2 linked regions of the Daphnia pulex genome follow. The protein of the gene in region 1 interacts with the protein of each later gene in a pairwise test. Links are inferred from orthologs where the notes say so. Each region holds a gene or a part of one and is shown in the gene's direction. Other genes may lie near its edges. The genes, in order: axin-like and glycogen synthase kinase-3 beta-like.

What was found.
Region 2: the proteins of axin-like (region 1) and glycogen synthase kinase-3 beta-like interact in a two-hybrid assay, tested with the Drosophila melanogaster proteins (2 studies listed by BioGRID, with this or other methods). The link is inferred for Daphnia pulex from reciprocal best matches to the Drosophila melanogaster genes Axn and sgg.

What each region holds. Positions count from the first base shown.
Region 1 is NC_060025.1:2,838,531-2,843,091, forward strand, and holds the start of axin-like, read left to right. Parts: upstream 1-1,733; 5' UTR 1,734-1,884; intron 1,885-3,059; exon of another isoform or gene 3,060-3,281; intron 3,282-3,319; exon of another isoform or gene 3,320-3,542; intron 3,543-3,739; 5' UTR 3,740-3,973; intron 3,974-4,446; 5' UTR 4,447-4,509; coding exon 4,510-4,561.
Region 2 is NC_060024.1:9,782,170-9,786,738, forward strand, and holds the start of glycogen synthase kinase-3 beta-like, read left to right. Parts: upstream 1-1,639; 5' UTR 1,640-2,221; coding exon 2,222-2,282; intron 2,283-2,370; coding exon 2,371-2,561; intron 2,562-2,635; coding exon 2,636-2,719; intron 2,720-2,804; coding exon 2,805-3,153; intron 3,154-3,233; coding exon 3,234-3,427; intron 3,428-4,569. Other genes in the region: alpha-(1,3)-fucosyltransferase C-like, read right to left, coding at 48-185, 261-433, 501-635, 710-718.

The sequences.
Region 1 (4,561 bases):
ACAGCAGCTACTGCGAAACAAATGTTCTTTCACCTTTAGCATACTATATACACACGTTTATCTAATGTCACGAAATAGATTTGTCTACCTGTCTTGCTCAAAACGGTCGGTAACATCATACGGGTCTGTCTCACTAACAAAGTAATCACTATAGTATACCTCAATCGGAACAAATACATAACGATGAATGAATTGAGCAAGCTCATAATTATCGCCTTGAAACACTTTGCGTGATTCCACCCCCTTTGTGTGTAATACGATTTCCCGCAAAGAAAATCATATAATCTATTCAAACTGATAATGAGATTTGGCTGCACCTGCGTGCACCCATCAGGAGAAAGCCCGAAAACTCATTGCTCAAAATTCATTCATAATATACTACTCATCCGCAATAGTTATTGATCCGGAACTGGTCAATAATTCAAAGGTCTTGCGCGGGGGACAAATAGCAAAGTCCGTATTATTTCGCAACATATGTTTTCCGATCAATGTGTGTCGATTCAGCCGATCTAAGCGTTTTTTTTTTATTTATTATAATTTTTCCATATCGTGTGACGTAAGCAAAGGTTTTCAAAACCGAGTCCAAAGTTGGACCGCTAGACGTCCTCCTAGTTATCCTTGTGTACGTACTTCATGGCCAAAGGCTTTAGTGAAGATTTCAAAGTGTCGATGATTTATTATAAAAGGCGGCAGATATCGTAAAAGTGTTTCACTCTTGAACCCACACGAAGCTACAGGCGATTAAAAGATTTGGAATCTGTTTGAAAAAAGAAAGGGATAAACAAAAAAATTGTTTTTCAAAAGGGAAAAATCTTCATTTCAATGTGACTTGGCAGTTTTACGGGGCAGGATTTGATGACTTGATGTACACATCTACCGTTATATTACGGTGTTTGAAGAAGAAGTAAATAATACTATATCCTCTCTCGTCATTTAAACCATTCGAAACTTAATCTGGAGAGAGTGTCAATCAAAATGAAATCAATTCTCTCTTGAGCTCTTAAGATTGCGTAGATTTATTCTTGTGTGTGACTCATATATCAAGACATGGACGACATTTATAGGCCGGAATTAAACGCGAATCAATCCATCTTTTATCGCCAGTAATCTCGATGACTCAAATTCTTTATTTTTTCCCTAATGAAAGTCGATGATAAAATCTGGCGTTGCTAGCGCATTAATGAACATAAAAGACCCCCTCTTTTTCTTATAAAATAATAAATTCCAAATAATAATAATAATAATAATAATAATACTCGTTGTTTGTATACAACGGATGCACTATATATCCATGGCGCATCAGTATTAATGACTAGCGCCGCCAAGATGTCGCGTTCTTTTCTTTCATTTAAGATTTTCTTATCTTGGAGTAGCGCGGCTCTTTTTCTCTTTCCTCTTTACCCCAAAAGTTAAAAAAGAAACCGCCGCGCTCGCGCGCCAGTGTGTAATCTGATTTCCCCGTGTCTGTATGTGTGTGTGTGTATGTGTGTAGGAGAGATAATTCCCAATGAAGCTGCTGCTGCACAGTTAGACTGCCCAGGGTCCGCTGAGTGATCATCATCATCGTGCGAGACAAATGAGTGCGACCAATAGACCAAACCGCCGCCGCCGCCACTTTTTAAAATTTTGAGCGCAGATAAAAGCCTCAAAATGTGGCAAGACCTTTAACTCGCGGTATAAATATCAGATCCATCTTTATTTTTTTTCCTACCCGAATGACACAGATATCTGGTGGGGGTATAAGAAAGGAGTTGGTCGGCGAGGTGTTTAGACGTGTCCGCGGTGAAGTGCAATTGTTGTTGTTGTTGTTCATCCATCATCTTTTGGTCCAACGGTGGAACTAATTTGCCGACTTCAGCAGCAGCAGCTTCGATTTGATTCCAGGTAGGTAGATATATTTTGAGAACATCCATCTTTTATTATAATATACTATATAAGATGCAATTGAGTCGGATGCAAATTGATCCGGGACATCCATCAACTTGGCTGTCGGCGGAAGTGGCCTCCTCCTCCTCCTTTTGGGCGGCCGCCGCCGTTTGATAATTTCGCCGCGCGGCAGCAGACAACAATTCCCACCATCCTATCCTAATAATAATAAGAAAAAGAGCTGATCTATATTTACGATGCTGCGGCATTTTGTTGGCTTGAATCCATCTGCTGCTGGTCGCGTAATCGACCAAGAGTCACTTTACCTTGACACGTCGTCGGCAATGGAATTTCGTTTTTTTTTCCCCGGACAACACATTCTCTCCAGCATTTTGAAGAAAGAGATAGATGACATCAACATCTCGAACCCCGCAAGCCAGCATGCTGCTGGTTAAAAGCCTTTTTTTTTATTTTTCTATTTTTTAACTTGAAATATACTCAAAAAAGAGCCGCGGGTCAATAGAAGAAAGGCCGCCGCCGCCGCCACCGCCGCCTTCCTTTTTTTAACACATAGTCTTGATTATCGCGCGGCTTGTTTTTTCTTCTTGGCCCGACGTGAAGACCTTGAGTGTGTGGTGGCTACCGCCGAAGAAGAATACCCTCTCTAGTCCTATGAAAATGTATGTAACCACCATTAAGGGCAATCATCAGAGTAGGTACAAGACCGACATGATGTCTTGATGGCACACAACGAATCCAGGTGAGGGCAAAACGCCAGGAGGCGTAGATCGACCTGGCTGGATTGATCTAGCTTTTAACTTTGACGTGATATTATATATACAACTCAATCGCTTTTTAGAAAATATATATATAAATACAGCAGAGGCGACATTTCCACAGAAGGAAGGAATTTGAGTTACATGAACCCGCTCCAAGGCTTCCCCCCTTTTCTTCTTTTTTGGGTGTTATTTGTTCGGTACACTTTGATGCCCTTTCATGGAAGCATTATGCAGGCAACACTCGAGATGTATGCATAAGATTATTGCCAATGTAAAAAAAAGTAAAGATCATTAGGCGATTTTTGTGAAAGAATGTCGGCACCTGCAAAGTCATGGCGAAAAGCTGAAGAAAAAGAAAGAAAGAATAAAGGAACTTGTGAGGAAGAAGAATGTCTTGGCGAATCGATTTCTAGCCAACTATCGATATATAGACATCGGGTGTACGTTTCTCGATACGATATAGGGGGAATGGGAACTGAGTTGTTTGGAGTTGAGCAGAAGCCGTCCGTCTTTTTTTCGAGTTTCATTTATTTCATTTTTTTGTGTTTTCTGTTTCTTTCCCTGAGTTGTGGCCCGTTGTTGACACGACGGCCGAAATTAATCTGAAAAAATTCGAGTGAAAATTCGATGGAAAAGGTAAATTAAGAGGAGAAACAGAAATCTGACAGAGTGATGCCCCTAGGTTATGCCCCTACTGCATACACATCTGAAAAAGTGACAATGGGCAAGCGATGGGTTTACCTAGACTCGCGTGCCCAGTGATTATTTGCAATCTAGGCAACTCCATTTACCACTCAGACTTATTGAATGTGATGGAAAATGAAATGCAAGTCTTGACTACGGGGAGGCATCACTCTTTTGTCAGGATTGTGAGCAGAGTCTGTATTGATCGACCTGGTGAGAGCTTTTGTAGTGAGTGGGGAGAACTCGGAGAGCAATTTCACTCTTCTCTCCCTTCTCATTTGTAATCCAGGGGCTCTCATCCAGTTTTTTCCAGCTGTCAAATATTGTGAACATTTGAGTAGTGGAAAACACAATAGCTTCTGCTTATGGTTAACAAACTGGTCGATAACTCTTGTACTCTTGTATTACAGGATTTCATCCAGAACCCGTGACAACAATTGGACCACTCATGTGAAGATATCGGGCCTCATTAAGGACTGAAGAGATCGACCCAATAGTTGCAACCCCCACAGACCGTCCAATTATGTTGATGCAGTAGTGATTCGTCGCAGTGTGCCTTATTCATAGCGTGCCTCATAGAAGAAACCAACTCCTCCTTCGCTTCACCCCTCTTATTTCACCAGTCTGGAACTAGATGCTGCCTGGTAAGCAACCTCCGTTTTTTCCATCTCTATTGTAGTCCATTTTTTCCTATTGTTATCTTGCACTCACCAAAAAATGAAAAATCTCCCTACTCATTGTTACGTTGTCAGATTATATTTCGCGCTCCAACGATTCCAATCAATGCTTACCCACCAAAAACTTGCAGTTATTTCTTTTTTTGCTTTCTGATGGTGAGGAGGGGGGCTAGAAGAGGAGGGGGGGGCTGGTGGGCGGAAGAGTGGGTCTTCCAAAGCCGGATATGGGATCTGGGAACGAATTTCTCTGGATGGATTCTCTACACACAGTTGCTGTGGCAGCAGAGTTTAGTTTATTTTGTGAAATTGCCAACTTCGGTTCAGTAGAAGAGTCCAATGTTGATGTTTTTGCTCTAACCAGTGACATCAAGTTGTGATTCGAGTTTCTGGCCATGTTAAAATGTGTGCTAACCATTTCGTTGCATCTCTTTCGTGTCCAGGTGATGCTGCTCCTGTTTTATTTATCGTCCGTTGACTACAACGAACTTGTACAGTGTTAAGTGATGAATGGAGGTGGATCTGTGATTCGTTTTTCGGAATCTGCTCCTCGACCCC
Region 2 (4,569 bases), on another chromosome or scaffold:
TAAATAATTAATTATTCATAGGGAGGTTTCAAATATTTTATCTTCACCTAAAAGTCATTGTCCAATTGAAAACATTACTGAGATCATACAAAATATTTGGAGTGTGTAAGGGAGATTCCTGAAGATAAAAAATCCATCGTTGGCGAACGGAACGACGAGGGGGCATATCATTCAAGTCCAAGTCTCTTAATTTTGATTTATGTTTGTTTGATATTTAATAGTTGAATGATTTGGAATAAAACTAATTCATTATTCCTTACCGTATATGGAAAATTATGGCATCACTTACATCAAGGAAATTTCGGTTATTTGTTGAACAACAGGCAAACACTGTGCACTGTTTAAAGGGCTTAATTCCTAATCCAACATAGAAATCATCTGTTTCAAAAAACTTAGTCCAGAAAAGCACAAGTTGTTTTCCTGAACAATTTTTCTGGTAAAATTTGTTAGTCAGTTTTTTTTAAATGTAGGAGAACCATGTTCGTAATCTAATGGCTTACCTTAATTGTTTCATATTCGCTTAAATCATGGGAATGGAATATGGGTGTGTTAAAAACGAAAAATGTCAAGATCAATATACACAACAAAGTTGCAAATAAAGCTATCCTTTTTTGGCTCACAGTGTTAAATAGATTCTAGAAAGCAAAACAATTATGTAGGTTTGTAGCCACTAGGAAGTAAGACTTTATTTCTAAAATAGATCTCTTACATTCGACATATTTTAAGATTCATTGATGTTTATTGATGCTTTCTCACTCCACACTCATTATGTCTAGTAAATTCATTTCCTTTTTTAAAGCTCTTAAAAAATCGCCTCGTCTTCTGAAAGACAACAGGCGAATTTGACAACTGCTTAGCAGACAAAAAAGACCTTTTTAAAAAAATGCCCCCGAAATTGGGTGTAACCTGTGTAACAAAATCGATGCCGATTGGTCCAAAAAGTGTTTAAACGTTGCATTATGCCATAAAGGAATCAATCAATAAGTAATATTCATGATTTATCAAAACGGATTAATATTAGTCATAATATTGGTTGTAGTAATTTCCATTACGTGACTAAATATACGTAAAATCCAAACGGTGGTCCAAACTCCAAAGCCCAAAGGTCACGGTGGACAACAAATGTGAAATCTAACATTTCATCTAATTATTTCCGGTTCTTTCAGGTACAAGAACCTCGGAGTCACAGAAAAATGAAAAAGTTACCAATTTTCTGTAGTGCATGGTATATCCTGATCCTGTTAGTAACAATCCTCGTTTTTTTTTTTCGTTACGTTTTCCTTCTCAATGCCAAATGGATTCCCACACTCAGTTAAGAAAGTACAATATACTGCGCATTTGCACGAAGAATTCGTGATAAGCATCTTGAAATTCATGATTCATACTTGTTTTCAGTTTTTACGAAAATGAATTGGCAAACGATTCACGTATAAACTCCATGGGTTATCTTTATAAATAAGTTTAATAAGTAATAATGAAATTTTTAGATTTTACAAGCACATCAATTTTACAATACAAGTTAATCAGAATTTAATTGTTGAAAGATTTAAAAAGGGCGCGTGCTTGCAACCACATCTATCGGATGTTAGATACAACATGGATTACGTGAGAAACAACAACAGAGAGGCAACGTTGCCATTTAAGTCGAACGGCCCGCCACCTGGTAGCAAAAGTCGTAAGTTCCGCCATATTGCAAAAGTTGGAAAATCTTAAATGGCGTCGTTCTCCGATGTCCTCAGCCCGAGCTAGTTTTACTAGCCATTGCCAACCATTTTTTCCCGCTGCCCGCAAAAAAACTGTTGTGAACTTCATACAGCGGACTGCGTAGAGTGACTTCTAATCTCCTTCTATTGGTTAGGCAGTTGTTGAAAATTTTGATTCTTTTTTCTCGCTCACCTCCCTATCGAAAGAACGTACAGGCCCAAATGGCGTTAGCCATCAGAATCACTGACGGGATTACAGTGTGAAAAACTAGTCACAAGAACGTTTTTCCACTTACACCCGTCCTTTTTCTACCCTCCCATCAACAAGAGTCTACACTCATCTCTTATATATTGAAACAATATACAAAATTCTTAAAAGAGATTTCTGAATCTTGAGGTTGTGTCGAGTGTCAAGTGTCTTCGACTGTGTCAGGTGTGTCTTCTGTGTGCACTGTGTGCAGACTGTAGTTTACAGCTATGTTCTTGGCGTGAGTCAAATTATCATTACAATTTTAAAAATGAGCGGACGGCCGCGCACCACCTCATTTGCTGACAAGACATCTTTAAATCCTTCATTTGGTATGAGCAGTTTCACTCGTCCATTGTCTTCCATAATTTGTACTCACCTGTCATCATTTTCACTTTCTTCTCCAATGCAATCTTTTAGGTAAAGATGGGAGCAAGGTCACCACAGTGGTGGCAACCCCTGGACAGGGACCTGATAGAGCTCAAGAAGTGGCTTACACAGATGCTAAAGTAATAGGAAATGGCAGTTTTGGTGTTGTCTACCAAGCCAAACTATGTGAGACCGGTGAACTTGTGGCCATCAAAAAAGTTCTTCAAGATAAGCGGTTCAAAGTAAATTACAGATTATGACTATGACTTGTACCTGTGTTCATAACTGATGACTTTGTCTTCTTTGTTCTTTCAAGAATCGCGAGCTGCAGATTATGCGGCGCCTGGAACACTGCAACATCGTCAAGTTGAAATACTTTTTCTATTCCAGCGGAGAAAAGGCAAGTTTTTGTGATGATTAAAGCTATTGTTCTTTTTACCAGTGTCTAACAATATGATCTACTCTCTCTTGTTTTGATACTTCAGAAAGATGAGGTGTTTCTCAATTTGGTTTTGGAGTTTATACCCGAGACCGTTTACAAAGTAGCACGTCACTATAGCAAATCCAAACAGACTATTCCTATAAGTTTTATCAAACTATACATGTATCAACTCTTTCGGAGTCTGGCTTACATTCATTCGTTGGGAATCTGTCACCGGGACATCAAGCCACAGAATCTGTTGCTCGATCCCGAGTCTGGTGTACTGAAGCTCTGCGATTTCGGAAGTGCTAAGCATTTGGTCCAGGGTGAGCCCAATGTCTCTTACATTTGCTCACGTTATTATCGGGCACCCGAACTCATTTTCGGAGCCACCGACTACACCACGAATATAGGTAACAAATAAAATAAAAATAACTTTCGATCTTCACTCAATGAACTGCTTTTAACATGTCGGCATTGTTGTGTTGATCAGATGTTTGGAGCGCTGGGTGCGTTTTGGCTGAGTTGCTTTTGGGCCAGCCAATCTTCCCGGGCGACTCTGGGGTCGACCAGTTGGTGGAGATTATCAAAGTCTTGGGCACACCCACCCGAGAACAGATCCGTGAAATGAATCCAAACTACACCGAGTTCAAGTTTCCTCAGATCAAAGCACACCCATGGCAGAAGGTAAATTTATTTTTAACTACCTTAATTAATCTACATATCTTGGCATTTCTTTTTCTCTATGTCTTTTGCTTGCGATTTTCTTTAAGTGTGTTTCTCCTTTCGCACCGTTTCTCGAAAGTTGTTCACATTTCGCAATCTTAACTGGAATGGGTTACGTTGAAATACCTTTGAAGAAAAGCTCTCTTCCAGTTATGCTATACTTACATATCGTGTTGCTTTTGAGGAAGTTGGTGGAAGTTAGGAAAGGTCCTTGTCCTCCTCGAATATTTTGCCTCGTATTTGTTTCCTTCCTAATGAGTCTCTGCCAGTTTGCCAGTAGAAACTGGAGGGGCAAAAAGAATCTAGCCAACAATTTTTTTCTTTTGTTTTGACAGATCGATGATGATGGCATCGATCCCTCGGTTTTATGTACGTACAAGCAAGTAGTAGGGCAGCGTTTTCTTTGCAATGATAGTCGCAACATTACATTAAAGGGTTTGTTGTTTGGCTTATGCGCAGGCTAGTGAAACTTTGCACATACCACACACCATTGATTTTGTTCATATTGACATCGAGCAATTATCGGCCATTTTCTTCATCCTTTTCTTCTTTTCTATACTTTCGGAGTTTTTGTGTTGTGTTTTTTTATTCTCTTCCAGGGGGATTTGACAGGTTTCCACGATGTGGATTTTTTTTTTGTTACTCAATACTGATGGTAATTCCCTGTGTTCACCTGTTCACGGAGCTTCCTCCTTTTTTTTGTACGATTTCATTTTTCCTTGCACGTGGCAATGAAGACCCTCTTTTTCTGTATGGGGTCTGACCTTTAAATTCGACGTTAAATCAAAATGTTGCTGACGACAATCTTTTTTTTTTCTTTTTGTTTTTGTTTTTTTTTGTTTTTATATTTTTTCTCCCCTTTTATATCGACAGTCGATGCTCGAGAAAATTACTGTGAGTCGGGCTGAAGCTAAACCTGTGGTTAAGTTTCGCGTAAGTAGAATCCTGTCTCTTTCGCCTTAACGCCCCTCCTGTTAAACCCCCCTCCGAGCCTCCCCTGCTGACACGAGTAGGATAGGAAACACACACAAAAAAATAACTATCGATCGCTTGTGTTGTGTGCGTTGGCTGCTAGCCCTCCCTCTCTGCCGACACACACACAC